2 linked regions of the Caenorhabditis elegans genome follow. The protein of the gene in region 2 interacts with the protein of the main gene of each other region in a pairwise test. Each region holds a gene or a part of one and is shown on either strand. Other genes may lie near its edges. The genes, in order: F47B8.3 and hrpu-2.

The links.
Region 1: the proteins of hrpu-2 (region 2) and F47B8.3 interact in a two-hybrid assay, tested with the Caenorhabditis elegans proteins (one large-scale study listed by BioGRID).

The regions. Positions count from the first base shown.
Region 1 is NC_003283.11:14,316,978-14,331,943, forward strand, and holds F47B8.3 (Glutaredoxin domain-containing protein), read right to left. Parts: upstream 6,027-14,966; 5' UTR 5,900-6,026; coding exon 5,799-5,899; intron 5,352-5,798; coding exon 5,093-5,351; intron 5,047-5,092; coding exon 4,873-5,046; intron 4,823-4,872; coding exon 4,502-4,822; 3' UTR 4,390-4,501; downstream 1-4,389. Other genes in the region: F47B8.13 (Skin secretory protein xP2-like), read right to left, coding at 1,984-2,754; F47B8.14 (Skin secretory protein xP2-like), read left to right, coding at 3,569-4,336; F47B8.4 (Glutaredoxin domain-containing protein), read right to left, coding at 6,630-6,950, 6,995-7,174, 7,220-7,472, 7,517-7,611; F47B8.18 (Skin secretory protein xP2-like), read right to left, coding at 7,846-8,487; F47B8.5 (Methyltransferase FkbM domain-containing protein), read right to left, coding at 8,843-9,130, 9,175-9,245, 9,290-9,440, 9,504-9,581, 10,084-10,203, 10,502-10,636, 10,736-10,846; pepm-1 (Aminopeptidase N-like N-terminal domain-containing protein), read left to right, coding at 12,189-12,399, 12,572-12,876, 12,923-13,039; F47B8.8 (Aminopeptidase N-like N-terminal domain-containing protein), read left to right, coding at 14,766-14,966.
Region 2 is NC_003282.8:2,170,608-2,186,577, reverse strand, and holds the start of hrpu-2 (RRM domain-containing protein), read right to left. Parts: upstream 8,683-15,970; 5' UTR 8,649-8,682; coding exon 8,547-8,648; intron 8,502-8,546; coding exon 8,440-8,501; intron 8,389-8,439; coding exon 8,268-8,388; intron 8,217-8,267; coding exon 8,175-8,216; intron 7,187-8,174; coding exon 6,865-7,186; intron 5,502-6,864; coding exon 5,385-5,501; intron 4,499-5,384; coding exon 4,036-4,498; intron 2,147-4,035; coding exon 1,971-2,146; intron 1-1,970. Other genes in the region: C54E4.1 (uncharacterized protein), read right to left, coding at 8,999-9,235, 9,978-10,201, 10,568-10,660, 10,789-10,972.

The sequences.
Region 1 (14,966 bases), on a different chromosome or scaffold from region 2:
TATGCCGATTGCTAATAAATTGCAGAAAAAAAGTTTTAGGCTCTGACTTCTGAAAATATCCAATATTTTATCGATTTCAAAAACTCTGGTTCAACACCTTTGCCATTTATCGACTGAAACTTCGAGAATTACCAATTGCAAACACTTCTGGCCTCTCACAGCTTTGAAAATTGCCTATTGTTAAAGTATTCAATTGTAGCTCAACAACTGGCAAAAAAATAAGCTATTTAGCAAACAACTCTCAGCTCTAGTCAACACGATGTACCCTTATCGGAACGCTAGCAAAAATTTAAAATCATAAAAGTGAGCAATACATATGTGTGGTGTGAAGTAAAAAAGACAAAAAATGGATAGAGGGTGGGTTTTGGAGGACTTAGTTGGGAAAACAGAGGGGTGTGACCTAGAGATAGTGGGACACAGACCACAAAGAAATTTTCGGAGTAAACACTTTCTGTTGACCACCACGTCATGGGAGAGAACAGTTGAACACCAAGGTTTTTCAATGGGAATCTTTTAAAATAGTTGAAAATTGAGATGATATAGAAGATGCTTTGGGGATAGCGAAACAAAAATTCAGAATAAATAGGAATGATTTTTCGTAATTTTATAGTCATTTTGTTTATTGGTAGTTTTGTTTTTCATTTATTTCATAACAGTGCAAAATGTGACTCATGACGTGTTTAGCATTATGTTCATGAAATATAAAATCATTGATGAAAAAGTTCAAAACGCACTAGTACTGCAAAATGTTTAAAATTCTGGAATATCAACTTTTCGAATTCAAAATTAATTGTTTTTGAGTTAACGGGTTAACTGATTTCCTAGGCTGTTATCGCATATTTATACAAAAAAGAGTCTGCGCGTTGTTGCTATGGAAACTGATTTTTGTTCTGTTTATCAGAATAGAAAGGATTATAGAGCATAGTGTGGCTGATACAAAATACGAAAACAAAAATAGGAGTTGAACATTCAGTTGAATGACTCGACTGTTTGTTTGCAAAAGAAAGTGCAAATCTTTGGCGCTGATCTATTATGAAATATTGAACACGGGAAACCAGAAAATAAATGAGATTTACAAGTTTGTGGGTTTTGTTGGGTTTATATGAAATCACAAAAATAGGTTGAAATCCTTAACTATCAAAAAGCCTGTGATCAAAGTATTCAGCCCACTTATAAACATCTCAAAAACGAAAAAGTAAATAAGATGAAGCGGAAGAGTGTGGGAGACACCCGCATTGATAATGTTGTGATCAGGATAATTAATTATCAAACTTAATAACTTGTAAGTTAAGTTGCATTAAAAAACAGTATTGTATCTCTCCGCCTACCAAAAAAAGTACAAAAACTACTACTGTTTAACCCTCTTATTGCCCAATTTCACTGCAAAAAATTATCTTGGCTCCGTAATTGCTACTTGGGGAACATGGGAAAAATTGTTTGAAGTTGCCGCACTTTTACGGCTTATATCTCGACTGTGTTGAGTGTTAACAAAACATTTCCATCTGTCAAAATGTTGAGGAATACTTTGCACGTATGCATTTTGTTAGTTGGCAATTTTGCATAGTACTGCAGACAATCGAGACATGAGCTGTCAAACTATAACAAGGGAGGGCAAATCTAGTTGGAAAATCCGGTAATATGAATTAGAATTTGAGAGTGGGTAAGAAATTGGTGGGAAAAAGCTTGAAACTGAAAACAATATTGAAATTGATGTTTGAGGTTGTACTCCTTTGAAGAAAGATGCAAACAAGAAAAACAACATGCATTTGGTCTATGAACCTCTCCGTCTTCCCTCCGCCTCTTTTATTTCCCTTCACCATTTTTTTTGCAACAAAGCGCATTTGGACTAAAACTATCCGATCTTGGGCAATGTTAAAAAGATAGTGTTTCAAAAATCAAACGTTTATTCAATTGAAACCGTAAAAAAACAAAAACCAGTTAGAGTTGGAAAGATCGGGGTAAAGTTGAAAAAAAAAACAGATTTTAGACAACGAGACGAGAGAATCTCATAATTTTCTTGGCTGGATAAGATCCACCACCTCCGGCTGGGGCAGCAGCACCAGACGAATAACCACCGGCGTCTGACGCTGGTGCTGGGGCAGGTGCTGGAGCGGTTTCAGGTGCTAGTGCAGCTTCGGGTGCTGGAGCTGGGGCTGGAGCTGGTTCTGGAGCAGGTTCTGCTGGAGCAGCTGGAGCGGCACCTCCTTCAGCATAATCACGAGCAACTCTTCTCTTTTTGGCTGGATAAGATGCACCACCGGCTGGAGCAGCGGCGCCAGCGGAGTAACTTGCGCCATCGGCTGCTGGAGCGGCGTCAGGTGATGGGGCTAGAGCTGGTTCTGCTACTGGGGCTGGTGCTGGAGCGGCTTCAGGTTCTGGAGCTGGAGCTGGGACTGGTTCTGCTGGAGCAGTTGGAGCAGCACCTCCTTCAGCATAATCACGAGCAACTCTTCTCTTTTTGGTTGGATAAGATCCACCACCGGCTGGAGCAGCTGCAGCGGCATATCCTCCGGCGTCGGCTGCTGGTGCTGGGACGGCTTCTGGTGCTGGTGCTGGAGCTGGTTCTGGAGCCGGAGCTGGAGCTGCATCTGCAGGTGGAGGAGGTGGTGGAGCTTCTACCCCAGCTCCTCCAGAATATCCAGCTTCTCCTCCTCCTCCTCCTCCTCCTCCTCCTCCTCCTCCTCCACCGCTGGCATAATCACAACTGATCGAGCAGACCATAGCAGACAAAGTCACAATAAGAAACAGCTTCATTTCTGAAAAATTCGAAGTGAAAGTTTTGAAAACTTCAGTGAAACTCACTTTGATGTGAAGAAATAGGAAGATGGAGAATGTAATGATACTTTTCAATTTCAACTTCCAACTTTTATACCGGGCAGCTGAAGAGAATGCGGAACACCTAAAACTAGTTCCTAGGGAAAAGCCAGTAGCTGCAAAAATAGAAAAAAACAACATCAATCTCAAATTTAACAAAAGGAATACAAAGAGAGAAAACACATTGTAAAATAACCGTGCTTTGTGAAACGAAAAACAAAACAAATTGAAAGATTGTGATATTGTAACTGTAACGGTTTTGCAGAAAGAGGATAATCGGATTTGAACAGATGCCTGTTTTAAAAATTGCATTTTTGTAATTATTAATACTGACCAGTCATTTTTAGGGTGTTTATAAACAATCTATGCTATGAAAAATATAATTTCCTGGTAGTCAAAAGTAGAGAAATGGATTGGCCAAATCTGACCTCACTTAAATTTTTGGAATTTTAATGAGGCATTGGCGACAGTCCCGTTGGTAATCTCCTTAATTTATTTCAATGCGGATTTCCAAATGTACTTTGAAAATATATTTTTTTAAATTCTCTTGGTAATTTATTTATTTTTCAGCTTCATCTGTTTTTGTTTTAAACTAATAGTTTCTCACTTTCATTTTCACAACAAAATCAAGTTTTGATTAGAAAGAGAAGTAGTATATAAACAGAAAAGACATCGAGAACGGCATCACTTCACCTTCTAATTCCAAGTGAGTTGGGACTTTTCAGATTATTCAACTAAATATTAATTTCCAGATATGAATCTCTTTTTGATCTTCGCTGCTTCTACTTTAATTTTCTCTGCTCACTGTCAGTATTCAAGTGGCGGAGGAGGTGGTGGTTACTCAGGTGGTGGAGGTGGTGGAGGAGACGCTGCTCCACCTCCTCCTCCACCTGCCGATGCCGCACCAGCTCCAGCCCCAGCTCCGGAACCAGAAGCCGCCCCTGCAGCACCAGCAGCCGATGCCGGAGGTTATGCCGCTGCTGCATCAGCCGGCGGTGGATCATATCCAGCCAAGAAGAGAAGAGTTGCTCGTGACTATGCTGAAGGAGGAGCTGCTCCAGCTGCTCCAGCAGAACCCGCTTCAGCTCCAGCTCCAGCACCCGAAGCGGCTCCAGCACCAGAACCAACGCCAGCTCCAGCTCCAGAAGCCGCTCCAGCTCCGGCACCAGATGCCGCTCCAACAGCCCCAGCAGCAGGCGCAGGTGGATATTCCGCCGGCGCAGATGCTCCAACTGGTGGTGGATCTTATCCATCCAAGAAGAGAAGAGTTGCTCGTGATTATGCTGAAGAAGGTGCCGCTCCAGCTGCGCCAGCAGAACCCGCCCCAGTTCCTGCACCAGAACCAGCACCAGAAGCCGCTCCAGCACCAGCACCAGAAGCCGCTCCAGTTCCGGCACAAGATGCCGCTCCAGCAGCCCCAGCAGCAGACGCAGGTGGATATTCCGCCGGCGCAGCTGCTCCAGCTGCTGACGGATCTTACCCGACTAAGAAAATGATGAGATTTTCTCGTCTCGTTATTTAACTGACACTTTTTTATATCCCCATGTATCTCTCTCACTGTAACCGGTTCATAATTTTTACGGTTTTTAATAACTTCATTTCATTAATAAATAGATTCATCATGTGAGTTTTACGAGGTATTCGGAGTAAATGAGGTTTGTAAAAAGATCAGGTAGAAAATAGTGATTCAATTCATTGTGTAGACCTTGGGAAGCTTCGGAAGCAAATTTTCTAGATTTGACAATGGTTCAAAAGCTCCATCAACGAACAGCTGAGGGAAGGTTTCACAATCTGATAATGCTTTTGAAATAAATCGAATTTCAGAATCTGTGGAAACATCAAATATAGTGTAATCTATTTGATTATCACTGAGTGATTGTATTGTAGATAGAGTTTGCTCATCCTCAAGATAATTTACAAAAAGAAGAACTGGTTTCCGGAAGATTTTGTAAATTTTAGCTTGACCATTCTCCATTTTTGAATTATCATTTCGAATTTCACTTTCTTCCTGAAAACATAACTTTTAAAATTGTACATGAATTTCAGTTCAGAACAAACCTCCCTTTGAGCTGTTTGTTTTGTCAATTGATCTGGAAAATTTGTGGCTTTTCTGCTAACGGGTAGTTTTTCTGGATTTGCAGTGTCTTCTTCCAAAGTTTCAAAAGTTGGAACATCAAATGGGTTAAGCTTGTTAATTAGTTTCTCAACTTTTTGAATTGAGAAATTGTCTCTCTGGAAATTTAATGATTGAAAATTTTAAGAGAATGTTTTAACTTACCTCTAGTTCATTTATTTCCAAAACGATCAGATTCAAAATATCGTCGAACTTGTCCAATTTTCTTTTTGCTAGCTGTGAATTTTGCAATTCAATGTACTCCGAAGCCACGTTTCTGAGGTCTTCAATCCTATTCTGAACAACTGTTACAATGATCTTCAATGCTTTCAGGTCATTCACAAATTTGTCTTCATTGGAATCCCAAAATTTGAAGACACTTTGAAACTGGAGAAATTGAATTCGCATTTGGATCATTGCATCTCTGAAAAAAATTTAAATTTGTTCAGTGTCTAATTTCATATTTTAATAAAAATTATGGTTTCCGCAAGTTTTCGCAATTCAAAATCGATTAATTATGAATGTGAGCAAATCTTGAATTTCACAAATGTTCCGCGTTTTTCAACGGAAAAATTACGGTTTCAGGCAAAATTTGTATGCTAAAATGAAATATTTTATCGAAAAATACAAAACATAAAATTAGGAGTGGAATTGAAATATTCAACTGAAATTTCGGAATCAAATTTCTTGGTTATAATTTGAAAATTTGGACTTACAATTAATACCTAATTGAATTTTTCTTATTCCACCTCAGAATTTCAGCTAAAAGAGCCTTTTCTAATCTGAAACTTACTGTCTGAACATCTTAAAAAATTTAAATTATTTCGCAACCGTCACTAGTTTTTCATGTTTTAGGGAACGTTTCTCTCACCTCAAAACTGTGAGTTTCACACCTAAATCCTCTTCACCAGCTTCACTTTCCAATTCGGGTTTCAGTTTCTCCGGAGACTTTCCAAAAACTCCGCGCATCATCGTTTCCTAGAAGGACGAAGCAAAAGAAAGAAAAAATTAAAATTGGTTGGCGAAGAATAACTAGTTCGAGAAAAAAGCAAACATATAAATAGTGTAAGAGAACGGAGACGCAGTGTTTCATAGTCAAGGCTTTTTCTCTGTTTCTCTTCGATTTATATGGTGCATCGGTGAGGAACAGGAGGATGGCAGAGAGGCTAGAGATGCCATGTGAGAGGGATACCAGGGTTCTCTGTTCTCAGATATGACCAAAAAGTCAGAAAGAGAATTTTAAGAAAAATGAGATATAAAATTACTGTTTCAATGGCTTTTTAAGCACAGCTCAAAAATGGAGGATTTTTTCAAAAAAAATCTTTCAAACGCCAAAATGTTCCACAAGTTTGTCTACATGATTCCTATTGAGGAAATCTCATATCCAAACTCTGGAAAAAGTTCAAGCAGCTGATATCTCGCGAGTCATTATTTGACAATTATTTTTGAAACTTAAGAATAGTTTTTTTTAAGAGTAGAGTTGCTTTAATAAAGCACAAATAAAAACGTTCTAACTACATTTTTACGTACGTCCTTTCGGAAAATCTTGCAGAATTAACGAAAAACTAAAATCGATGAAATTCGATAGCAAATCATATGAATGAATAGTTTTTAAATATCATTATTTTTGAAAAAATTTATTTTAAATTGATAATAAAAAATAAACAATACATATACATATAGCTTAGAAATTGTGTGATGCTCAATTCATTGTGTAGACCTTGGGAAGCTTCGGAAGAAGATTTTTCAGAATTGGCAATGGCTCAAAAGCTCCATCAACGAACAGCTGAGGGAAGGTTTCACAATCTGATAATGCTTTTGAAATAAATCGAATTTCAGAATCTGTGGAAACATCAAATATAGTGTATTCAATTTGATTATCATTGAGTGATTGTATTGTAGATAAAGTTTGCTCATCCTCAAGATAATTCACGAAAAGAACAACCGATTTTCGGAAGATTTTGTAAATTTTAGCTTGACCACTCATCATTCTACAATTATCCATTCTGATCTCATTTTCTTCCTGTAACATAATTTTGTAGCAAACTGTAAGAGATTTAAACTCACTTCGAGTTGAAAAGTCTCCCTTTGCGTTTTAATTTCTAGTTTTTCAGGAATATTTCCCATTGATGAAACTTGAGTATTCAGTTCTAATACGACGCCTTGAATATTTTCGTAAATTGGCACGTCGAATGGATTGAGATTGTTGATTAGTTTCTCTACCTTCTCGATGAAAAAATTTTGGCCCTGAAATTCTATTCTTAAATTTCTAAAAAAATAAAAAAACATTACTTTTGCTTTGCTTATTTCGAATGCTATTTTATTCAATGTATACTCAAAGCTATCAATAATTGTCTTCAACATCTGGAGGTTCTTGATTTTGAAATATTCTCCAACTATCAGCTTTATATCGTCAATTTGGTTTTGAACGACTATAATTATAACATTGAGTGACTTCTTTTCGTGCTCAATTTTGGCTTTATTCTGATGATAGAAAATACTTTGAAAATGTAGAAACTGAACTCGTAATTGAATCATTGCATCTCTGAAAATGTGCTTTCTGGTGAACGCAATATGTTTCCTATATACCTTAAAACTGTAAGTTTGACACTGAAATCTTCCTCACTTGAATGCCAAGCAGCTTCATTGAATTCTTCTGAAGAGCTTTCAAGATAATTTCCCATTTCAGTTTAGTAGTTTTGAAGTAAACAACAAATGTGTTGAAATGGAACACAAAACAGTCAGTGTGCAGTATTCAAGTATTCAACTGATAAGAGTATCACCTGGTCGAGCAGCAAAAAGTAAACAGCACATGCGAAATGATAGAAACATTTTATTAAAAGTTGATGTCATTTGAACCGTAAATGAAAATGAACCAGTTGGTAAAAGCAAGATCGAAAATGTAGAATAAAAAGTTTTCAAAAAACGAGACGGGAGAAGCGCATCATTTTCTTGGCTGGATAAGATCCACCACCTCCAGCTGGAGCAGCAGCACCAGAGGAGTAACCACTGGCATCTGATTCTGGGGCTGCTGGAGCAGGTGCGGGGGCAGGAGCAACCTCAGGTACTGGAGCTGGTTCTGCTGGAGCGGCATCTGGTGCCGCAGCCGGAGCGGCTTCTGGTGCTGGTGCTGGTGCTGGAGCTGGCGCTGGTTCTGGTGCTGGAGCCGCTTCGGGTGCTGGTGCTGGAGCTGGAGCTGGAGCTGGGGCGGGTTCTGCTGGAGCAGCTGGAGCAGCTTCTCCTTCAGCATAATCACGAGCTACTCTTCTCTTCTTGGCTGGATAAGATCCGCCACCGGCGGGTGCAGCCGCAGCGGCATATCCTCCAGCGTCAGCTGATGGTGCAACAGGTGCGGCTTCTGGAGCTGGAGCTGGAGCTGGAACTGGTTCCGGAGCTGGTGGTGGAGCAGGGGCTGCATCGGCAGGTGGTGAAGATGGTGGTGCAGCTTCTCCTCCACCACCTCCACCACCTGAGTAACCACCACCTCCTCCGCCACTTGAATACTGACAGTGAGCAGAAAAGATTAAAGTAGAAACAGCGAAGATCAGAAGGAGATTCATACCTGGAAATTAATATTTAGTTAAATAATCTGGAAATCCCAACTCACTTGATGAGGAATTAGAAGGTGAAATGATGCCGTTCTCGATGATTTTCTGTTTATATACTGTTTCGCCTTCCAATAAGAACTTGATTTTGTTGTGAAAATGAAAGTGAGAAGTTGAAAATGTAATAAAATTGAAGAAGCTAAACAAGGAAAACAAACAAATCGCTTCAAAAATTATTGCAGGCTTTGTTAATTTTATTTTTGCAAAGACACTGAAAATTGAAGTTTTTTTTTTGAAAATTGTGAAAACAATATTAACTTAAAGATCTTCACGAATTGCAGGATTTTTTTAAACTATTTATTTGAAATTCCTAATATTTACGCCGACAAAAATCACTGTCAAAATTAAACATATACATTCTCATATGTATCACTTCTTCGGTTCGAAAGATTGCAAATCGTTCTTCCTTTATCAGTGTCTTCACGAAATGCATAAATCGTTCGTAGTGTAAATTATTAGGACCCGTTTCTGATAGATGAACTTCTAAATTAACTTGACAGAGTTCTATTCCATTTCTGTCAAAACTTCCGTCTTTCTCGAAAATTTCAAAAAGATCGTATTCGGCACCTTCGGAGTCCATCCACAAATTGTCAATTGTCTGAAATAATAGTTTTTGAAACTTAGAAAAGTTTAAAACCATACCTTCAATTTTAAAAGCCTTTCCACAAAATACATCATGTCTACATGAATAACACTTTGATTAAAATATTGCCCTGAAAATTTGAATAATCATCTCAAATTGTATTTCAAAACTTTCTATTTATCAAAACACTGGCCGTGGCATATCCTGGATTTTTAGCAACTGCAAATGGAAAATATTTTCCTATTTGTGGGTATAAATGTTCATTCACTTCAGTCATTGGGTCGGCACCGTAGAATTCGACGGTTTTTCCGAGTTTTCCCATTTTCTGCAATTTTGGCTCAATTTTCCAAAATATTTGTCAGTTTTTTTTTTTCAAATAAAAACACACCCTTTGCCATCTTTGCTCTCCAGTGATGTCTTTTCCAATTCCGATGGTTACAAATGTGTGTCTTTCATCATTCTGGAACTGAAATTAGTGTTATTGTTTTGTCTTGACACGCTCAAAAAGTACTTTACTGAACTGATTTATTTTGGAAATTTTTGTATATTTTTTCAATTTCTCTTTTTGACTTTTTATTTCCTTTGAAATTCATCAATTCCCATCTTACAGGAAATTCAATGTAACCAAAAAATCTTTTTTTTTTCAACTTTAAACTACAGTGTATTTTTTTTCTATACATTTTTAAAAGATGGCGAATTCATTTAAATAAATAAAGCTTCTCCAATTTCATAACTTCTCATTCACCTTTTCAAAATTTTCGATTCCTATAAATAATTTCCATTTCCCGCTTAAATCAGCCGTTGCTTTTTTCCTTCTGTTATAAGTTTTATGTTCCACGAAAAATGAGGCAAGCCTTAGAGATAACATCTCACTGTTTCAATGTTATCTGATCTGTTTTCTATGCACCTTAGCATAACCTGATTCCACGTGTTGTGATCATACGGTTTTTCAAAAAAATAAAACTCACATTTTTCGGCAAAATTGCAACTTTATCCTCATCCTTGTTTTTCAGAGTGATGAGGCCAAGCTTGTCGATTTCAGCGTCTTCGTCGCATTTTTTGGTTAACTTTGTAAATTGAGTCCAGAACTGAAAATAATTATTTGGAAAGTGAATTTAAAAATGACTACTGAAAATTGTTTTAGTAAGTTCACTGAAACATTTCAGAAAGTATTTCAAAATGTTTCATATTAAACTAAAAGTTAAAAAATGTAAAAAAATTGATTTTCTAGCTGAAAATTATTTTTAGTTATTTTTCAACTTTAATTTGGAACATTTTTAAAACTTACTGTATTTTTGAAACAGTTTCATAGATATCATTACAGATTTTTTGTTACTTTAAAAAAACTTTCACTATAGCCTTTTACTATAGACTATAGCCACATACCTGAACAGGATCATCAATAACCAAGAGGCTCCACTTTGCACAGTCCAGCCATTTCTTAAAAATTTCCTTCTTATTCGCGTCCATAAAAACTGTTTGAAGGTCTTCTTCGTCTGCGGCTTCTTCTCGAACATCTTCCTGAAAATTTCTATAAAGTTTCAATGTTGAACCGTTTAATTGATATTTAAAAAAATAAAAACTTTGTTGGAAGGCTCAAAAGTTTTGAAAGAATCTTACCAGATAAGCAATAAAAACTTTGTAACAAGCTAGAAATAATGTGAATAAGAGCAGAATTTTAACACATCGTTGAACTTTATTTTTCGTCGTTTTCATGAGAAACTGCGACATTTGGGAAAAAGATGTGTGGATAAGAATTCCGTTGCCAATTCCTACATATAAGCTATTGTATGGAGAACGGAAAAAGGGGTGGAGATTATAGGGGAAAACACATTCAATATTGATTCAACATTAGATTGAGAAGTTCAGGTGAACGAAAGAGATCAACAAGGAATATCAAAAGTTCGGATTATGTGTGTGCCATTTTCACGCCTTTTTTGGGACTTTTACAAAATTTTAAACAGAAATTGACATCCGGTTTTGGAAGATTTTTATAACCTGGAATTTTTTATCCTTATCGATCAAGAAATGCAATTCTACGGGACTGAATATAATGGAAAATACGCTGAAAGCATTTTCTTCAACAATTTCAGGGTAAATTTTATTCAGTTTCCTTGTCTCTCTTGTCTACTTTCTTAATGAAAAACAAATTTATTTTTTTGATCTTCAATTTTTTTTTAAATTTTAAAGGATATTTTATTAGCAGCCTCGCGATTGTTTTGGCAGTTTTTCGCGATTATATTCATGAAGGCGTAGGGAAGGTTACTGTGTATGAGAACCGTCTCTCAAGTCGTCATTGTTTAAGAACTGAATGATTTCTTGTCAGAAACTCAAAAAAATTAGAGTGGTATTTCACCCTACATTTGGTAAGTGAGAAAAACTTTATGTGGAGAGTACATCTTGTAAGGAAGCGTCGAATCCATTTTTAAAAATTATTCGATTTTTGATGTATTACAAAAAACATTTCGGTCAATCCTTTCAAAAGTTTGGCAATAAGCCGATCTGCAAAATTACAGCCTTGGGTAAGGACTTGTCGTAATCTTGGTAGACTACATAAAACTTTTTTTCAACGATGTGCCCATGCGCCCACCACTCTTCCGTATTTCTATTTAGTTTGAACATATAGAAAAAGATAATTGACGTATTAGATTTCTCTGATCTTTGTAAAAGATAATTTTTTCTCAATTAACAACATTGATGACGTCCATTAAATCCTTACAAAGTGTATGCGATATGTCGTTTGCTTTCCTTTTCAGGCTACATACGCTTTTTTTCGAGAGAAAGTTATCTAAACTGAATTGAAAAAATTAAAAGAAAGCTGTTTTCAAAAATTGAGTTTTCGCGATGTTTGCATTGTCAAAAATTCGAATGTCCAAAGTATTCAGTTATTATTGTTGTTTTTGGTATTGTTTTTGATTTACCAACAACCAAAAACCAAAACTGCCTGCAATCTTTTTCCATTTCTCTTATTTTGTTGCATTACCACCAACAAGTATTTCTCACACACATTTTCAATCGTAAACGCCTTCTCATTTCCATCTATTCTCATTTCAGTTTGACCTTACAACTAAAAATGTCAGAACTTCTTACTACGTACAGGCCAATTAAAATTCTTCTCCAACTTGATCCCAATCTGGGAAATAACTCATACAATGGTAGAGTAAAAATCGATTACGAGTTCACAGGAGAAACATCGGAGATCAAAATTCAAACATCTAGAGATTTTCAGTGGACTTCTGTCAGACTTGCCACGTTTTACGATTTCAATGAAGGATGTCCTGTGTGTAAGTTTTTAAACTTAAGTCTATTTAAAAGATTTGAATCAGTAAAATTTTGATTAATGTTGAGCAATCAACGTCCAAATAAAAAATGTTTTTAAGGCAGTCAACCTTTTTGGTAAATTGCCGAATTTTTCAAAAATGTGGACTTTTGTTTAAATATTTTTCCAAATTTCAGATGCAAGTGTTGATTGTGAAAACTATGTCCATGATGCCGAATCAGAGATACTGACTCTTCCATTGGGAAACCCCCTCACTCCTGAAACTACTGAAAATGGATTCTACATTGAATTAGAATGGACTGGACCTATAAATCCTCAGGGAGAAACTACTGGACTTTATGCAATTGATGAAAGTACTATTGAAGCAAATATGAAAGATGGGAATGCTCATAAAGTATTTCCATGTTATGAGGGAGGAGTTTCTGCAAAGTTCTGGCTGACTGTGATAACTGATGAAAGAACTAGAGTTGAAACTAATATGGTATGCTTTTGGAAAAGCAGAGTTTTGATTTTGATAAATGTTTCAGGATGACGCTGGGCACGAAGAATTCGAAGGAAGAGTGAAGAATAACTTTTTAAAAGAAGAAGAACTTACTATTGAAGATGTTTACATTTATGTCACACCAATTATCGATATGGAATAGTGTTTCCAATTTTTTTTGAACAATTAATTTACCGAATCAATGAATAAGTTTTTTTATTCATATATGTATGTGTTCCCTGGATGTTTCATAAGTATGACAAATTTACTAAATGTTCACGTGTGCTTGGGGGGTACGTATCAAGAAGTTGCTAGTTTCCGAAAATTTTTGGACTTGGCGTTTTTTTCTGATTTGTTAGGGGTCTCGAGTTAATCGTCCTATGTGGGTGAACTTCATAAAAATATTTTTTCTGCCTCTTCCTATATTAAATCCTGAAATTGCATTCTTGACAGAAATAAAAAATAAGGGCACGTTGTCGTAATGGGGTGTCCCGAGAAATGTGACTGCACTTTGAGAGCTTATATCTTGGCTTAGGGTTGGCGGTTTCTTGAGCAATTTGTTTCAATAGCTTATAAAAATAGCGCCTTCCATCGTCATCATTGTGGGGGAGCTTTTGGGAAGGCTAAAACACTGATTTGAGCGGAATTCTGGAGTATGGTCGAAATGGATGTATTCTTTGTACTGACGAATTTCATGTTTTTTCAGCCCCAAATCTTCAGTTTTTCTGACATTTGGTTCCAATTTGTGCGCAAGAGAGAACTTCGTATTTCCAATTTTTTGAAACTATTTTGAAAAAAATTGGCGCACTTTCCAAAATGTAGGCCATCATTCAATTTTTGCAAAATCAAAAAGATTGATTAAACGTGAAAAACTTTTCTACCACTCTCTCTCTTTCTCTATTTTTGGTGATGAATTCGATAATTTTCATTTCTTATTTTTAATAACGTGAGGAAAACTCAATTTTGAAGACTTTTCGAGATTTTTACTTTTTCCCTAATCTAATTGAGGGCCGCACTTTTTGAACATGTTGGCTACTTTTAACCTGACTTCCAGCAGGACAGGCTGGAGGCCTGCAATGCTATTGTATTTCACTCAAACCCAAAAATCAGGGATTAGGGCCACCTTCTTACTCTTTGAAACTTTAGGCCTTTTCTATCCCTACACCCAGCAGAGCAGGCTGGAGGCCTTCTCTGAGAGGTATGTTTCTATAACTACGTATGTTTTTGGAAAAGTAATGAAAAAGGTCACCTAGGTCAGTTAACCGGATTGAGGGCCAGAGGCCCGAATACACAAAACGTATTGGACAGCCGTTAAGCCTATACTGAGCCCAAAAACTCGAGTTGAGAGCCACAGGCCCGAATACACGAAGAAGTGTTGGAGATCCGTCAAGCCTATTCTTAGCATAATAATTCAGTTCGAGTGTCGCAAGCCCAAATAGACGCAGATGCGTTGGACAACTGTTAAGCCTATTTTAAGCAAAAAAATTTGAAAAAATTTTTATTTCTAAAATTAATATTAAACTAAATTTGGCCGGTCTTGACAAACTTCAGCACATTTACTTGGCATTTACTCAACACTTGACTAAACTTTAGCGAATAAAGCGAATTATTCTTGAGTTACTCTACGCCGAACTAAACTGCGAAGCCTAGCAACTCTCCGATTTGCTAGTCAAGATAAGTTTATAAATTCAAAACAATGGCATTGAAATGTTTTGTTTATTTTTTTTCTGATTTTCCGAGGAGAAAATATTTACAAATTCAATCGATGTTTTTTCATTTTTCTCTATCTCTTACGGGTGCACGTGTTCCTCCTACAAACCAGTTTTCACTCGTATCAAACTGTCGAGGCCGTCTCATTTCTGTCATTTATTCTCTGATTCTATTGAAATATGTCGGAACTTCTCACCACATATCGGCCGACTAGATACATGCTCCAACTCGATCCAAATATGGCAAACAAGACTTACTGCGGAAAAGTGAGAGTCGACTATGAATTCACTGCAGAAACTTCGGAAATCAAAATTCAAGCATCAAGGGATTTTCAATGGACTTCTATTAGGCTGATCAATTTTTACGCTGTATACCTGGAA
Region 2 (15,970 bases):
TACCGAATTTCGTAATGAGACGTTCTGAAAATTGTTCAAAAAATTGTTATGGCGGTTCAAAATTCGGCAAAATAAGGCCAATTTTCAGCTAAAATCAAAATGTTTTCCAACTTCTCGGTGTTGCAACGTCTGGAACCTAATTTTTATTTATTCATCACTTTTTTAATAAATATTGTGGTCTTTGAGTGGGCGTTTATTCGTTGTTTTACGCACATTTATGGTTTTTTTTTTTTTTTGGGGCACAAATAAAAGTTACATTTTGTGCCCCACTGACCATAAATGTACTTAAAACAACGAATAAACGCCCACTCAAAGACCACAATATTTATTCAAAAGTGATGAATAAATAAAAATTAGGTTCCAGGCGTTGCGACACCAAGAAGTTGGAAAAATTTTTGATTTAGCTGAAAATGGGCCTTATTTTGCCGAACTTTGAACCGCCACAACTTTTTTTTGAACAATTTTCAGAACGTCTCATTACGAAATTCGGTAGTTTTGGACCAATTTCGGTCTAAAAAAAGCAGAGTCTCAAATTTCGGTACTCCACCTTTAAGCCAAAATTGCGGGAAATTGGTGAAAACTTTTTTAAGTGGCAAATTTGTTTTTTAACAGAAAAAGTGAAAAATCACCAATTTTCCAACTTTCAGCAACAAAAAAAACTATGTTTAAGGTTTTGAGGTAATGTTTAAGGTAATGTTTTAAGGTAAACGATTTTTAAGTTTTTGAGCTGAAAATTTGATTTTTTTTAACAGAAAAATGTGAATTTCAGTGTTTCAAAAATTCAAGAATTTTCCAGTTTTAAAGTCGAAAATATGACATTTTCAATCGGAAAATGTGAAAAATGAGCCCAAAAATTGACAATTGTGTACCAATATATAGACAGTATGCGGGGGAGTGAGCAAATGAACAAATAAAATTGAAAAAAAAGTTTTGTTCTGATATTGACTCAAACCAATATGCCCCCGGCCACCTGTTTAAATGTTATCGCAGAGGAAAAAATTTTTCCAATTTCAACAATTTTTTCCAATAATAAATAAATCGTCAGCAGCAGCAGGAAGAAGAATGGGAAGAGAAAATATTAAAATTCTCGAAATTCCAGAAGAAAAATCGTCAAAACTGAAATTTTTTAGCGATTTTGGGCTAGAATTGCCCAATTTTAGACAATTTTTTGATTAAAAAAAGCTGAATTTCGAATGATTTTATAAATTTTTTGAGAGAATTTTTCAGCAAAACTTGCCAATTTTTGGGGATTTTTACTGGAGAATAATGAATTTCGAGCCAAAATTCATAAATTTCAGACAAAAAACGGCAAAAATCTGAGGAATTCAAACGATTTTAAGCTGAAATTTGCAAATTTTTCATCAAATTCGTTCAATTTCGGTCAATTTTTCGAGCGAACATCCTCGAAAAATGTTAAATTTTGAGGAAAACGTTGAGAAAAATTAGATTTTTTGGAATTCCAAAACAAAATCGTCAAAGCTGAGATTTTAAAGCGATTTTCAGCTGAAATTGCTCAATTTTCAGCCAAATTCGTTTAATTTTTGACGATTTTTAGTGGAAAATAATGTAGTTCCAGACAAAATTCGTGCATTTCAGTCGAAAAAATTGTCAAAAATCACAAAAAAAAGCAATTATAACTTTAAAAACTCGATTTTCGGGTAAAAAATGCATTAATTTCTCGTTGTTTTAGAGAAAACTGTGCAGAAGAAATATAATTTCAGTATATTTTCGATTTTTAGAGCAAAAATCTTCAAAATACACAAGTTTTGGGTCAAAATTTGGCTGAAATTTGAGATTTTCAGATATTTTTACAATAAAATACGTGTTTTTTACCTTTTTTAATCATAAATTGTGATATTTTAGCTCAAATTTCATGATTTTTTGGTTGAAAAATGCGTTTCCCGCGGCCAGTTTTCACATTTTCAGACCCAAAAATCGTCAATTTTCCGTCTAAAACCCCATTATTATACCTCCTCTCATGAAAACATTGCAGTGTGTCTCCGTCTCTTTCTCTTCTTCTTTCTCATTTCCTTCCGAATCCTTTACAGTTATCATCGATTTTTGGACAATTGTCACAAAGGATTTTCCAGCGTGAGCGGCCACAGCTTCTTCGGCTGTCTCGAATTTTACAACTGCACACGGATTTCTGAAAAATTGGAAAATTTATTGGAAAAAAGTATTGAATTTTAAAGGACTAACGGTTCGGACGATTTCGAAGCCTAAAATAGAATAAAAATAGCCCAAAATTCACCAAAAATAGCTGAAAATAGACTGAAAATTGCTTAAAATTCACTAAAATAGCTTAAAATTTACTGAAAATTGCTTTAAAAATTACTGAAATCGCAGAAAATAAGATAAAATTTACTTTGAAAAAACGGTGTAATTCGCTTAAAAATTTATGGAAAAAGCGTAAATTTTCTTGAAAATTGCTAAGAATGAAAGGAGGAAAATGACAATTAATAGCTGAAATTTGAGAGAATTAACTGAATTTCTATTCAATTCTCAAGTTTTTCAATGAAATCTCACAAAAAATTGAAAATCATCTGAAATTCTGCAAAAAAAAAGTAGAATAAACTGTGAAAAATCTGCTGAAAATTCATCATTTTACTTAAAGGAGGACTAACGGTTCGGACGATTTCGAACGTATAGACCCAAAATGAGCTCAAATGAATGAATTTCGTAATGAAACTGCTCAAAAATTTTTCAAAAATTTTTTATGGCGGTTCAAAATTTGGAAAAAATTACACTGATTTTAGCTAAAATCATGAATTTTTCTCGTTTTTTCGTGTCACATCTGTTCGAAGTTGAATTTTTTGGAATTATCGTCCTTTTATTACATATATTGGTGATTAATCTCATTTAATTTCGTCGATTAAGGTACATTTAAAGCCGATAGGTAACCAATTTCGATGATTTTTGGCTACCTATCGGCTTTAAATGTACCTTAATCAACGAAATTAAATAAGATAAACTACCAAATAATATATGCAATAAAGGATGATAATTCCAAAAAATCCAACTTCGAACAGATGTGACACGGAAAAATGGGAAAAAATCGTGATTTTAGCTAAAATCCGTGTAATTTTTTCCAAATTTTGAACCGCCATAAAAAATTTTTGAAAAATTTTTGAGCAGTTTCATTACGAAATTCATTCATTTGAGCTCATTTTGGGTCTATACGTTCGAAATCGTCCGAACCGTTAGTCCTCCTTTAAGTAAAATGATGAATTTTCAGCAGATTTTTCACAGTTTATTCTACTTTTTTTTTGCAGAATTTCAGATGATTTTCAAATTTTTTGTGAGATTTCATTGAAAAACTTGAGAATTGAATAGAAATTCAGTTAATTCTCTCAAATTTCAGCTATTAATTGTCATTTTCCTCCTTTCATTCTTAGCAATTTTCAAGAAAATTTACGCTTTTTCCATAAATTTTTAAGCGAATTACACCGTTTTTTCAAAGTAAATTTTATCTTATTTTCTGCGATTTCAGTAATTTTTAAAGCAATTTTCAGTCTATTTTCAGCTATTTTTAGTGAATTTTGGGCTATTTTTATTCTATTTTAGGCTAATTTTAGTGAATTTTATGCTATTTTCAATCAATTTAAAACTATTTTTAGTCTATTTTCAGGATATTTTGGTCTATTTTCAGCTACTTTCAGTCAATTTTTTTTAAATTTTAAGCTATTTTAGTGAATTTTCAGTCAAGTTTAAGCTATTTTCAGTCAATTTAAAGCTATTTTAGTGAATTTTAAGCTATTTTTAGTCTATTTTAAGCTAGTTTTAGTGAATTTTCAGCTATTTTCAGTCAATTTTAAGCTATTTTTAGTCTATTTTCAGCTACTTTCAGACAATTTTCTTAAATTTTAAGCTATTTTTTTTTGAATGTTCAGTCAAGTTTAAGCTATTTTCAGTCAATTTTAAGCTATTTTAGTGAATTTTAAAGCTATTTTTCGTCTATTTTAAGCTAGTTTTAGTGAATTTTCAGCTATTTTTAATCAATTTTAAGCTATTTTCAGCCACAAAACTCTTGCTCACCCCATCTCATCATTAACCAAATCACACTGAATAACGGCTTGAAGTGGGAACCAAGCACAAGCTTCATCCAGCGTCGGAGTATAACCGTCAGGAAGGATCTTCACAATCAACTGCATCATTCGTTCGGTCGGCTTAATAACTCTTCCGAGTTTTCCCTCGAATTCCTCTTTTCGTTTCAAAGAAACTGTGGTTTGTGGCAGAAAAACTTTAATTCTTCTTCCATCTCCACTACGGAAATAGACCAAATGCTTCAGTGCCTCATCCATAATTGCAACATTTCCCGGGAAAAAGAGTGTCAGTTTTCCGTGACACGTACGATTTCCATCGGAATTGAAACGAGTCGGAAAGTTGATTTCACACGTTGTCGATTTTTGAATTGTACGGTAGATGAAGACATTGTTCAAATCGGCCCACAACAAATTATCGATTATCAGCTTTTTCTCGTCGCGTGGTCCTTCGCATACTGCAAAACATGGTAAAGGTTTTGAGGGTTTTTGGAGTTTTTGAGTGAAAAATTGGGTTTTTTGGAGTTTTTGAGTGAAAAAAATGGATTTTTTTGAAGTTTTTAAGTGAAAAATCAAAGTTTTTGAGTGAAAAACGGGTTTTTTAAAAAAGTTTTTGAGTGAAAGATCGGGTTTTCTGAAGTTTTTGAGTAAAAAATCGGGATTTTTGGAGTTTTTTAAGTGAAAAATCGGGTTTTTTGGAGTTTTTATGAGTGAAAAATCGGGATTTTTCAGGGAAGAATCGGAATTTTCAAGGTCTTTAAATAAAAAATCAGAATTTTTGAGGGTTCTAAATAAAAATTGGAATTTTTTGAGGTTTTTATATCAAAATATAAAATTTCGGTGTTTTTTTTTCAAGTGAAAAATCAGAATTTTTCTGAAGGTTTGTAATTAAAAATCGATATTTTTCCGTTTTTTTTTTAAGTAAACAATCGGAATTTTTAGGGTTTTAAATGAAAATCGAAGTGTTTTTGGAGCTGAAGCTTTAGGAAAAAAAAACGATGTATTTTTGGTGGTTTTGAGAGAAAAATTGAAATTTTTTGAGAGGTTTTTATATAAAAATTATTAAATTTCAGTGTTTTTTTTTCAGAATTTTAACAAAAATTATGATTTTTTTGGGGGTTTTTAAAAATAAAATAATCGGAATTATATGGTGTTTTTGAGAGAAAAATTGAAATTTTTGGGGGATTTTTCGAACTTTTTAAAGGACAACTGTGTCATTTTGTGGTTTTAGGGGTTAAAAATAACGATTGTTTGGTGTTTTTGAGTGAAAAATCGTGATTTTTTATATTTTAAAAAGGAAAATTGTTAAAATTTTCAGTGTGAAAATTGTGGATTTTCACATACATCTCCACTGGAATTCCGGAGCTCCATCCCAATACATTTCAAACGGAGCCTTCTCATCTTCATCTTCGTAAACCTTCTTCTTTGGCGGCTCAGGCTTCTTCTCCTTCTTTTCGCTGCCTGAAAAACGAAAAATTGATGATTTTCATTGGAATTTGGAGCTTTTAAGACAAAATTCTTGTCATCGAAAATGCTCATTTTTGATGGCATTCATGATTTTTCGGAATGATTTCGGGCGCTAAAACCACAAATTTGAGAAATTCTGCGTCGCTTCTCTCTGTTCGGAGCAAAAATACCTTCTGAAAGCCATTCTGGACCAAAATACCCATTTCTGAGTGATATTCGGCGCCAAAATTCGAATTATCGACTTTTTAGCCCGAAACGCCCTTTTCTGAGTGATTTTAGATGCCAAAATCAAAAAATCGACTGCTTCAGAGGCGAATTGTGATGAATCTCCAAAAAATGGTTTAAAAAGAAATTTTAAAACCATTTTATGGTTTTCTCTCTCTAAAAACGACGATTTTAGGTTCAAAACCCAAAAAATAGCCGATTTAGTGCCAAAAACCGTAGTACAAAACCGCGCTCATGGTTTTTTTCTGCTAAAATCCTCATTTCTAAGGCATTTTTCAGCTACGAAAACCATGAAAACTTGATATTTTCTAGTTTTTAGCGCATCCTGAGGTCTTTTTTCACCAAAAATACCTCATTTCTGGGTGGTTTTAGGTGGCAAAAACAAGCCGCACGCTGATGGTTTTCTCAAGCCAAAATGCTCATTTCTGAGGCATGAAAACCGCAAAAACTTGATGTCTTTTTCTAGTTTTGAAAGCATTCTGGGGTCTTTTTCCACCGAAAACCCCCATTTCCGGGTGATTTTCGAGCCAAAATCCCTCCGAAAAATGCATATTCGGAGCCAAAAGTCGAAATTATCGGTTTTTAGCTTGAAAAATACCCATTTCTGAGTGATTTTAGGTGCCAAAACCACTTTTTTCTTCTTCAGGGAGACAAATTGTGACCGATGTCCAGTAATCCCCAAAAAAAATGATTAAAACGACCACTCAATGCGATTTTAAGTTGGAAAACCAAAAAAAAATAGCCGATTTTGGCGTCAAAACCGTGCAAAGCCGCGCGCTGATGGTTTTCTTCTGCCAAAATGCTCATTTCTGAGGCATTTTTTAGCAATGAAAATCATCTGAGAGCATTTTCAACCAAAAATCCCCATTTCTGAGTGATTTTCAAGTGTCCGGGTCTCAAAATTCCTCCAAAAACTGCATTTTTCCAGTTGTTGCTGCTGATTTAGGTAACAAAACCGCGCACGGATGGTTTTCTCAAGCCAAAATGCTCACTTCTGAGGTATGAAAACCGCAAAAACTTGATGTTTTTCTAGTTTTGAGAGCATTCCGGGGTCATTTTTCACCGAAAACCCCCATTTCTGGGTCAAAATCCCTCCAAAAAATGCATTTTTCCAGCTGCTGCTTCTGCGAACCTTTTTCCTCCTCCTTTTTAACATCACTTTCTTCATCTTCTTCATGTTCATCATGCCCTCCTTCATCATCATGATCCATTAATTCATCAATTTCATCGTCATCTCCACCACCAACATCAACATCATCTCCAGCGTCTTCAGCTTCGACAAGTCCGTTCAAAAGCAGACATTTATCGTCTTCACTGATTTCCAACGCGTCTGACGGCAATTCTTCAATCAATTCCACTTTCATTTCTTCTTTCGCAAACTCGGCTTCACGTGTCATCATTCGATAAATGTGCTTCTTGTCTGAGAAACAGATTAGCGCTCGCAGAGCATGTTCCTGTAATATGAAGCCACATATGGATGAGGAGATATTGGAGAGAAGATTTGGCTTGAAAATTTTCACAATTTCTCGGCAGAAATTTCTGTGCATTTTCAGCTCTTTTTTGAATTGAAATACCATTAAAAACTTGAATTTTGAGGTTTTCTTGTGAAAAATCATCGCCTAAAAACTTGAATTTTGGCTTGAAAACGTTAATTTTCAGGCTATTTTGGAAGTGATAACCATAACCCTTAAAATCTTGAGTTTTGAGCTATTTTCGGCTGCAAACCCTGGAATTTTTTGTGAAAATCCCTTAAAAACTGTAATTTTAGGCTTAAAACTCGAGTTTTGAGCCATTGTCGGCTGAAATGGGACGAGTTTTGGCTCGAAAATCGCAATTTTTCGTCAGAAATTATGAATTTCCAGTTTTTTTTTTGAATTTTAGGCCATTTCCGGCACGAATAACTGGATTTTCTGGGAAAAACCGACGAAAATTTAAATTTTGAGTCTATTTTCTTGAAATTTGAGCTTAAAAACTTGACTTTCAAGCGTTTCCTATCCAAATTCTGCTATAAACTCCAGTTTTATTGTGAGAAATCGTTCTTTTTCCGTGAAAATCCCCTTTAAAATGTAATCTAGAAGGTTATTTAAAGCTTAAAAACTTGAATTTTAAGCTTTTCCCCCCACGTCGAGTGAAAAATCATCAAAAAAAAAAATTTGAATTCAGAACTAATTTTGGCTCAGAAGGCAGAATTTTTGTGAAAAATCCTCCGAAAAAGGTGAATTTCTCTCTCTTTCTCTGCACTTTCTTGAAATTTCGACTCGAAAGCTTGATTTTCGAGCCACTTTTAGCCTAAATTCTTGGATTTCCACGTAATTTTCGATAAATTGAGCTCAACACAAGCATTTTCCACTTGAAAATCGCGCATTTTCTTGAAAAGCACTGCCTAAAACGCATTTTATGCTTGTTTTTTGTCTGAAAATTCTTATTAATAGTATAAAATACCGAATTCTTGGCGTTGCTGTCCAGATTCGGAATTCGGACGATCTGAAACCGCAATTTTTAATTCAAAAAACCCATTTTTCTCGCCGATTTTACCTTTGAAACCGTGGAAACATCGAGCTTATGACCCATTTTCATGATATTCTTGATGGTCTCGCAGAATTGCTCATAGGTATCCGTGATGAAGTCAGTTGGGATGCCAGAAAGCCAGACAGACCTGAAAAAATCAAAGTTTTTTGGAAAAATTCGGCCGATTTTGCATCATTACGCGGCGATATCGATCAAACGTGGGTCTCCGCCGTGTTGAGAGTAGAATTCGGGGATTAGATCCTGAAATTATAAATATTTTAAGTAAAAAACCCAAGAAAAACGTACCTTTACCTCCTCCTTTGCATCTTCTTTCACTTCCTTTTCAGACTCCGGGTCATTTGGGACCTCCTGCTCGGTTTTCGGCACATTTTCAGTCTCGTCGGTCATTTTTATTGAGTAACTCGTTGAAATTACGCTGAAAATCAATAAATTTAATGAAAAAAGAAGAAAAAAAGAAGAAAACATGAGAAAAAAACGAGGAGAAACGATGGAAAATCGATGAAAAACGCGAAAAACACTGCGTTTTTTGTTTGCGCGTTTCTCGTGCGCGCGGTGATCCTCGAGTGCGCCAGCAAGAGGCCTTGGCGCATTCCCGGTGCATTAATGCATTACACCGCGAATTTCAAATTTTAAAAGTTTTTTTCGGTGAATTTTGCAGATTTCCCCTGAAAACCTGAATGAAAAAAAAGTTAAATTCAAAATTTTATCGTTTTTTATATATATATATAAAATCTTCATTAATAAATCGCAGTTTCTGGAGATTTTAGATGATTGTTGCTGCTGTTGCTTTTGCCACGTGGCTGTTGTGTGCGCGGTTTTGGGCTGACGGATGACGTCACACTCTTCTTTGTGGAATTCGATCGATGATGTGGCTGTTGTTGTTGTAATGGGGAGAGACGCGGCAGCTGGGGGTCCGGGTACGGTGTCAGCGAGAGGCGTTTCAGACGAGCGGCAGCGATCGCCGCTTGGTTGAACTGCAAAAATCGATTATTTATTGATTTTTTTGAGAAAACTCGAGTTAAAATTCGTTTTTTTGCGCAAAAATATCGATAAAATTGAAAAATGCTTTGGTGGCCTAGAAAACCTACAAGTTAAAATTCTAGGCCACCCCTCTAATTTTCAACGTTTTATGAAAACAATAGCTTTTGAAAATCTCAAAAAATATGGGGTTTGAGCCAAGTTACAACGGCTTGAAGTTGATGGCCTAGAAAACCAAGTTTTTGGAAAACTAGGCCATTGTTCTTAGTTCAATGCTGCCGAAATAAAGAGTTTTACGGTGGTGATTTTTGAATTTTCAACAAAAAAATCACTGTTGAAACAAATTACGAAGTTTGAAATTGGTGGCCTAACTTTTTCATATTGGGTTTCCAGGCCACCAGATTTGACGACATTGTAAAACACATTTTTGCAAGTTTGTTCCAGTTTTTAAATTTCAAAAAAAAAACTCAATTCTCCGCCAAGTTATGCCAATTTGAAGGTGGTGGCCTAGAAATCCGAAATTTGTGAATTCTAGGCCACCAACTTAAAATTTGCATCACTTGGCGTAATTTTGAGAGTTTTTGAAATTGGGAACAAACTTGATTATGCTAGTTCTACAACATCAAAAATTGGTGGCCTAGAAACTCAAAGTTCGGCCACCAACTTCAAACCTTCATAACTCTCTTCAAAATCAATATTTTTCCAAAATTCAAAAACCCTCGTGACCGTCCACCGTACCTCTATTGAATAAATATCAGATCGTGCAGAATTCGGTGTGAGCAGCTCCGTAGTGCTCCCCTTCCTCGACTTCCTCCCCTCTCCGTTCACAGTAAGCGTTGATGACGTGGAAGAACCATTGCTTCGGAAACTTGTGGCTCTTCGCTGAGTTAATTGTGGATTCGGGATAGTTGACGGGGTACCGGGGACCGGGAGACAGTTTGATGCTCGGCGGACGTCTACGGCTGGAAAAATTTTAAATTTAGAGGCGAGCCTCCAAGGATTACGGGATCTCTTCTGAGCATCCTAGCTCCGCGGAGCAAGGTGATATGAAAAAATTGTCAATTAATAATTTGTTCAGCTAAGAATTCCCTACAAATGGTTAGTTGACAACTTTTTGATAACACTTTTATTGGAAGAGTTATCAAGCTTTAAAGCCAGCTGCTCCAATCTCCAATGCTCCTTTAAACGGCTATAACTCCGCGGAGCAAAATGATACCAAAAAGTTGCCATCTGAGAATTTGTTAAGCACAAAGAGCTCTACAATTTACTAGTTAAAAACTTTTCGACAGCTATTCCAGATTTTGAGATATTTCAGTTATAAAGCTCACACTGTGTTCGGTTTCGGCGTATGCTTCCGTTTCCATTCTGCTTCTGCTTCATTGATGCTCTATTGGACGATTTTGATCTATTTATAGAGCCCGCTAAAATTTTTAAAAAAGTTATTCGAAAAAAAAACATAAAAATTTAGAATTTTCAGAAAAAAAAATTTTCTTTAAAATTTTTTTTCCTCAAAGCTCAATTTTTTTAAAGACAAAAAAAAGTTATTTACCATCACTCCAAAACTTTGAAAATTCCTTGACATTCCTGTTGGTATTCCGACACGAAGTGGCACGCCGCGCGTTGAGCTCAGTGGCCGGAGCACTTCGGACTGCTCGGACGCTCCGGCGGTTCGCACTATTGGTTCCGCTGAATTTTGCGGCTCGAGAGCTTGTTGTAGATTGTGAGCCGCCCATTTTGGCTTTTCAAAAACTGAAAAATGTGCACTTTGAGCAGAGTTATGGGAATGTTAAATTGATGGCCTAGAAAGCCAAAGTTAGGCCATAGCATAACATTTTGTTGTGGGAGATAATAGAACGTATATTCACATAAAAATCAGTTTTTTGTTTATAAAAAACTGATAAGTTTGAAGAGAGTTATGCTAATTTTAAGTTGATGGCCTAGAAACCCAAAAGTTCGGCCACCGACTTTAATGTATCATAATTTGCTTTAAATTAGCATTTCTAAAGTTTAAGACGTGTTGCTAGTTAGTTAAAAGTTGCTCTACAAACTGGGAATGTAGTGGCCTAGAATTCCAAAGTTTGGATTTCTAGGCCACCTAGGAATTCTAGGGGTAGAAAATCAAGGCAAGTTAAAAAAAAAAGACGTTTCGTAGGTTTTCCCTATTCCAAATATCTTCTCAGAACTCGAAAATGTTGTGTTTGCAGCCAGTTACAAGAATTTAAAGTTGATGGTCTAGAAATCCAAAATGCGATTTTTCTAGGCCACCAACTTTAATGTAGTATTTTAGTAGCTAAATCTCTCAGCATTTCAAATTTCGTTTTATGATATGAAAATTGTAATTTTGAACCGAGTTTTACCGATTTTGTGTTGGCCTGTTGGCGGCCTAGAAATCCACTGGAAAAAGTTCGGCCATGGCCTTAAAACTGTCATAACTCACTTCAATATTGCCGTTTTTTAAAACTGTGAAATACTAGCTACCAATTATTCTACAAATTGTGAAATTTGTGGCCTAGAAATCCGAAATTTGGGTTTCTAGGCCACCAACTTTCACTGCTTGTAACTTGCTTCAAAATCAATAAATTTGAGTTTCAAAAATCTACTTGGATTTCTGGGAGTTGAAGCCGCAAAACTAGATTATTAAGACTGATGGCCTAGAAAATCAACCTTTGGATTTCTAGGCCACCAACTAAAAAATGGCGTTTCAGGTCAATTTTTCGAGAAAAATTAATCAAAAATGCAAGGAGATAAGCAGGAAGAAGAAATGAAAAGGAAAAATTGTTGAAAAATTTTGAAATCGGATAGGGAGCTGAGCCAGTGCTCACCGCAAGGGGAAGAGGGGATAATTATTTTATCTCGTGGGGTTCATCCTTCTTTTTTCAGGACAATAGGCAAAAAAGGAGAAAAATGGCACAAAAAACTGAAGAAGAATGTGTGAAAAAAGTTGAAAAAAGCCGGAGACTGGAGCAAGAAAAGAATCACAAAATGAAATTTGATACAAAAAAGAGGCTTCAGTAGTATAGAGGTTTTCTTGAAAACTTGAAAACAAGGTTTTTGCTGTTTACAGATGCAAAAAACATCGAGTTTGAGCCAAGTTACGACGGTTTAAAGTTGGTGGCCTAGAAAACCAAATTTTGGATTTCTAGGCCACCACCCTCGAAACTAATTGTAGAGCTTACAGCGTACAAATTTCTTATATTGGTGGAGGTTCACAATTTCAAAAACTCGAATTTGGAGCCAAGTTTCGGCATGTGGAGTTTGGTGGCCTAGAAACCCAAATTTTGGATTTCTAGGCCACCAACTTCAAAACTTGAAGAGCAGACGGTCCGTGACTTAGTTTTCAGAATTTAAAATTTTGGATTTTCCTCAAAGTTATAGCAATTTTAAGTTGATGGCCTAACTTTCCCAGTTAAAATTTCTAGGCCATGAACAGAAAATCGTTAAAACTCTCTTCAAAATCAAAATCTTCAATGTCTGAAAAAAGCATTATTCGTTTTGTCTAATTTTTGAAGACTTGGCTTTCTAGGCCACGAACAAAGTGGCCTAGAAAACCAAAATGTGAAAAACTAGGCCACCAACATCAATATTCGAAGAAACAGATTTTCTAAAGATGTTCTAAAAGGAAAAAAATAACGGTTTTTGCCAAGGTTTGGCGAAAAAAAAATGGTGGCCTTACTTTTTTCTAGGCCGCCAACTCTAAATCGCTATAACTTGTCGAGAAACTATTATTTTTGAATTTTGAAAACTGGAACATACAGAATACGCAAAGCTCTGTGGACTATAAAATTTACTGTTTTTATTTCGGTGGCCTAGAAATTTTTGGATTTTTAGGCCACCAACTTAAATTGCTCATGACTTGCTTCAAAATTAATATATTCGAATTCTAAAAAAAAATATTTGGAACACTGCGAAAATATTATACAAATTGATTATATTAAATTCGGTGGCCTAGAAAATTCCAAATTCGGATTTCTAGGCCATCAACTTTAAATGGGTGTAACTTGGTGGAAAACTAACATTTTTAAAAATTGAAAAATGCAATAGATTTTAAAAATATTACTCTCCCGATTGAACGAGAAACATATTTAAAAAATAATTCGAAATGAAGCAAAAAAAAATCTCAAAAAAAAAAAAGAAACAAAGATTCACCTAACATTTACAAGCACTTCAAATTAGATGTGTGTGTGTGTGTGTGCTCCAAAAAAGAGATAAAGAGCTCAAAGCTCAACTCAATTTGGCCTAGGTCTTGTGCTCTTTTGTGTATGTGTGCTCCGTCGGCAGAGCATTCAGAAAAGGGCACGGCCACGGAGAAAACAAGATTTGCATCTGGCCTAATGTAAAATTGAAACAAGCACGCTTAATCTCTACTAAATTGGCTCACAAATGAGCATTTTTACCAGGGTTCGTGGCCTAGAAACCCCCTAACATTTTAGGCCACAAAAAGAAAGTTGGTGGTATAGAAATGTGAAAAGTTAGGCCATGAAAATTGTTCCCAGTTTGCAAAATTAAAAATAATTGATTTAAAGCATAGTTACGATGGTTATATTGATGGCCTAGAAAACATTTTTTTTTACCACTGATTTTTTTAAAATTTGGTGGCCTAGAAAACCAACTTTAAACCGTGACTTAAAATTGTTTTGTGGACAAATTTGGTCTTTGAATCATATTAAAATGTTTTATGCAAGTTGTGCAAGTTTTTGGTGGCCCATAACTTCGGCCACTGAATTTGCTTTTCCAAAATTCAAGTTGATGGCCTAGAAAACCAAAGTTAGGCCATGACCTAAAAAATGATCTCAGAAAATGATAAAGGAATTTTCATAGCTACAGTAATTTTTAATTCATCAAAAACTAATAAGTGAAAAGAGTTATTCTATTTTTAAGTTGATGGCCTAGAAACCAATAAGTTCGGCCACCGACATTAAGGTATCATAAAAAAACATTTTTGAAATTTTAAAATGTGTCCCTAGCTTGACCCAATTGGTTCTACAACCTGGGAACACTGTGGCCTAGAAAATCTAGAATTTGGTTTTCTAGGCCACCAATTTAAAATGCAAAAAAATCGGCTGAAAATCGGCACTTTTAAATTCTGAAAAAGCCACCATAATTCAAATTTATTTCTCCATTAAAATAAAATAAAAGTAGGCCACCACACAATACGTGGTGGCCTGGAAATCCAAAAAAAAACATTTTTTTCCGTAAAGCTCCACTTGACAAATCATAAAACGGAACACCACATTAAAGCGGCTTAAGGTAATCCTCCTCATTCCTATCATTTGAAATATGAAAAAGTCGATAATATTCTTGCTCATGGAGCACAAATACGCATTTTCTCACACATGTTTATAAAGGGGGACACAAATTGGAAAACGAATGTGCATTTGCATTTTTTTTTTCAGAGTAGAATTAAAAAAAAGAGAAGAAGGCCCACCGGAAATGAAAAATAAAAAGATTTTCTCTTTGACTGGGTAACAAACTTTTTTTGCGGGGAGCAGAAGTTTTATACCCTGAAAATTTAAAAACCACCTGTCTCTAAACTTTAAGAATATGAAAATTGAATTCAGCTTGCTTCTAGCTTTGATTTAAGCATAAACGTGACGAATATGGAACAAATTTGGGTCCCAACACGAAAACTACAATACCTCGGGAGACTTCTTGGCGGAATTTAAAATTGAAATTAGAGGGGATATATTGTCGTGATTATACTTAAATAAAAGCTAGAAATACACTGAATTCCAAATTTTATATTATTTCTAGTCTTAAAAAATTTTCAAAATGTTTTTTTTTAGTTTTAAAAATTCAAAAATTTCGAACTTTTTCTAACTTTTATCTATCGAATTTAATTTTTTCGCAGCGTCTTAAGCTTTAAATTAAGTATAATCATGCGTAAAGCCATCCACATAAAAAATTTTCGGGTCCCGCCACGAAAACATACAGTACCACTGGCAGATTTAATCGCAGGACCCAAAAATCGAAATAGGAGGGAATATAAATAGTCGTGATTATACTGAAATCAAAGGAATTATCACGCAGAGGTCAAATGGGTTTTTGCGCAGGGTTTTTGTTCTCAGCATAACGATTTTTATTCAGCTCATCAAGAGCTTTAATTATATATATATATATAATCATGACTAGGTTGCTCCAATTCTGGGTCCAGCCACGGAAACTACAGTACCCAGGGGGATTTTCGTGGTGGGACCCAAAAATTCTAAAAAATTTCAGCAAATATGGACATTATTATACTCCATTTGAGTAGAAAACATGAAAACTTTTGATAGATAAAAAATAGAAAAAGTTCAAAATTTTCGAATTTTTCAGAATCTTTTTTGAACATTTTTTAGCACGTAAAGTAATTAAATTCAATTTTAACTAGAAATAATATAAAATGTTGAATTTAGTGTATTTCTAGTTTTCATTTACGTATAATCATGCTTGTATTCCCTCCGATTCGAACTTTTGGGTCCCATCACGAAATCGGCTAGGTTTTCGTGGCGGGACCCGAAAATTTTCAAATTTTAGCAAGGCAGATCATGATTAGGCTTAAATTGAAGCTGAGAACACGCTGAATTTAAATTTTAAAATAGATTTAAAGAAAAATGAGCAATGAAAAAAATTTAGATCAAAAACAAAATTTCAAAAAATTTGTATAAAAAATTTTAGCTATAAAAAAAGTTTTCAAGTATCATTTATCTAAATCGATATGACTGGCAATACACCGATATATCACTCCAAATCTG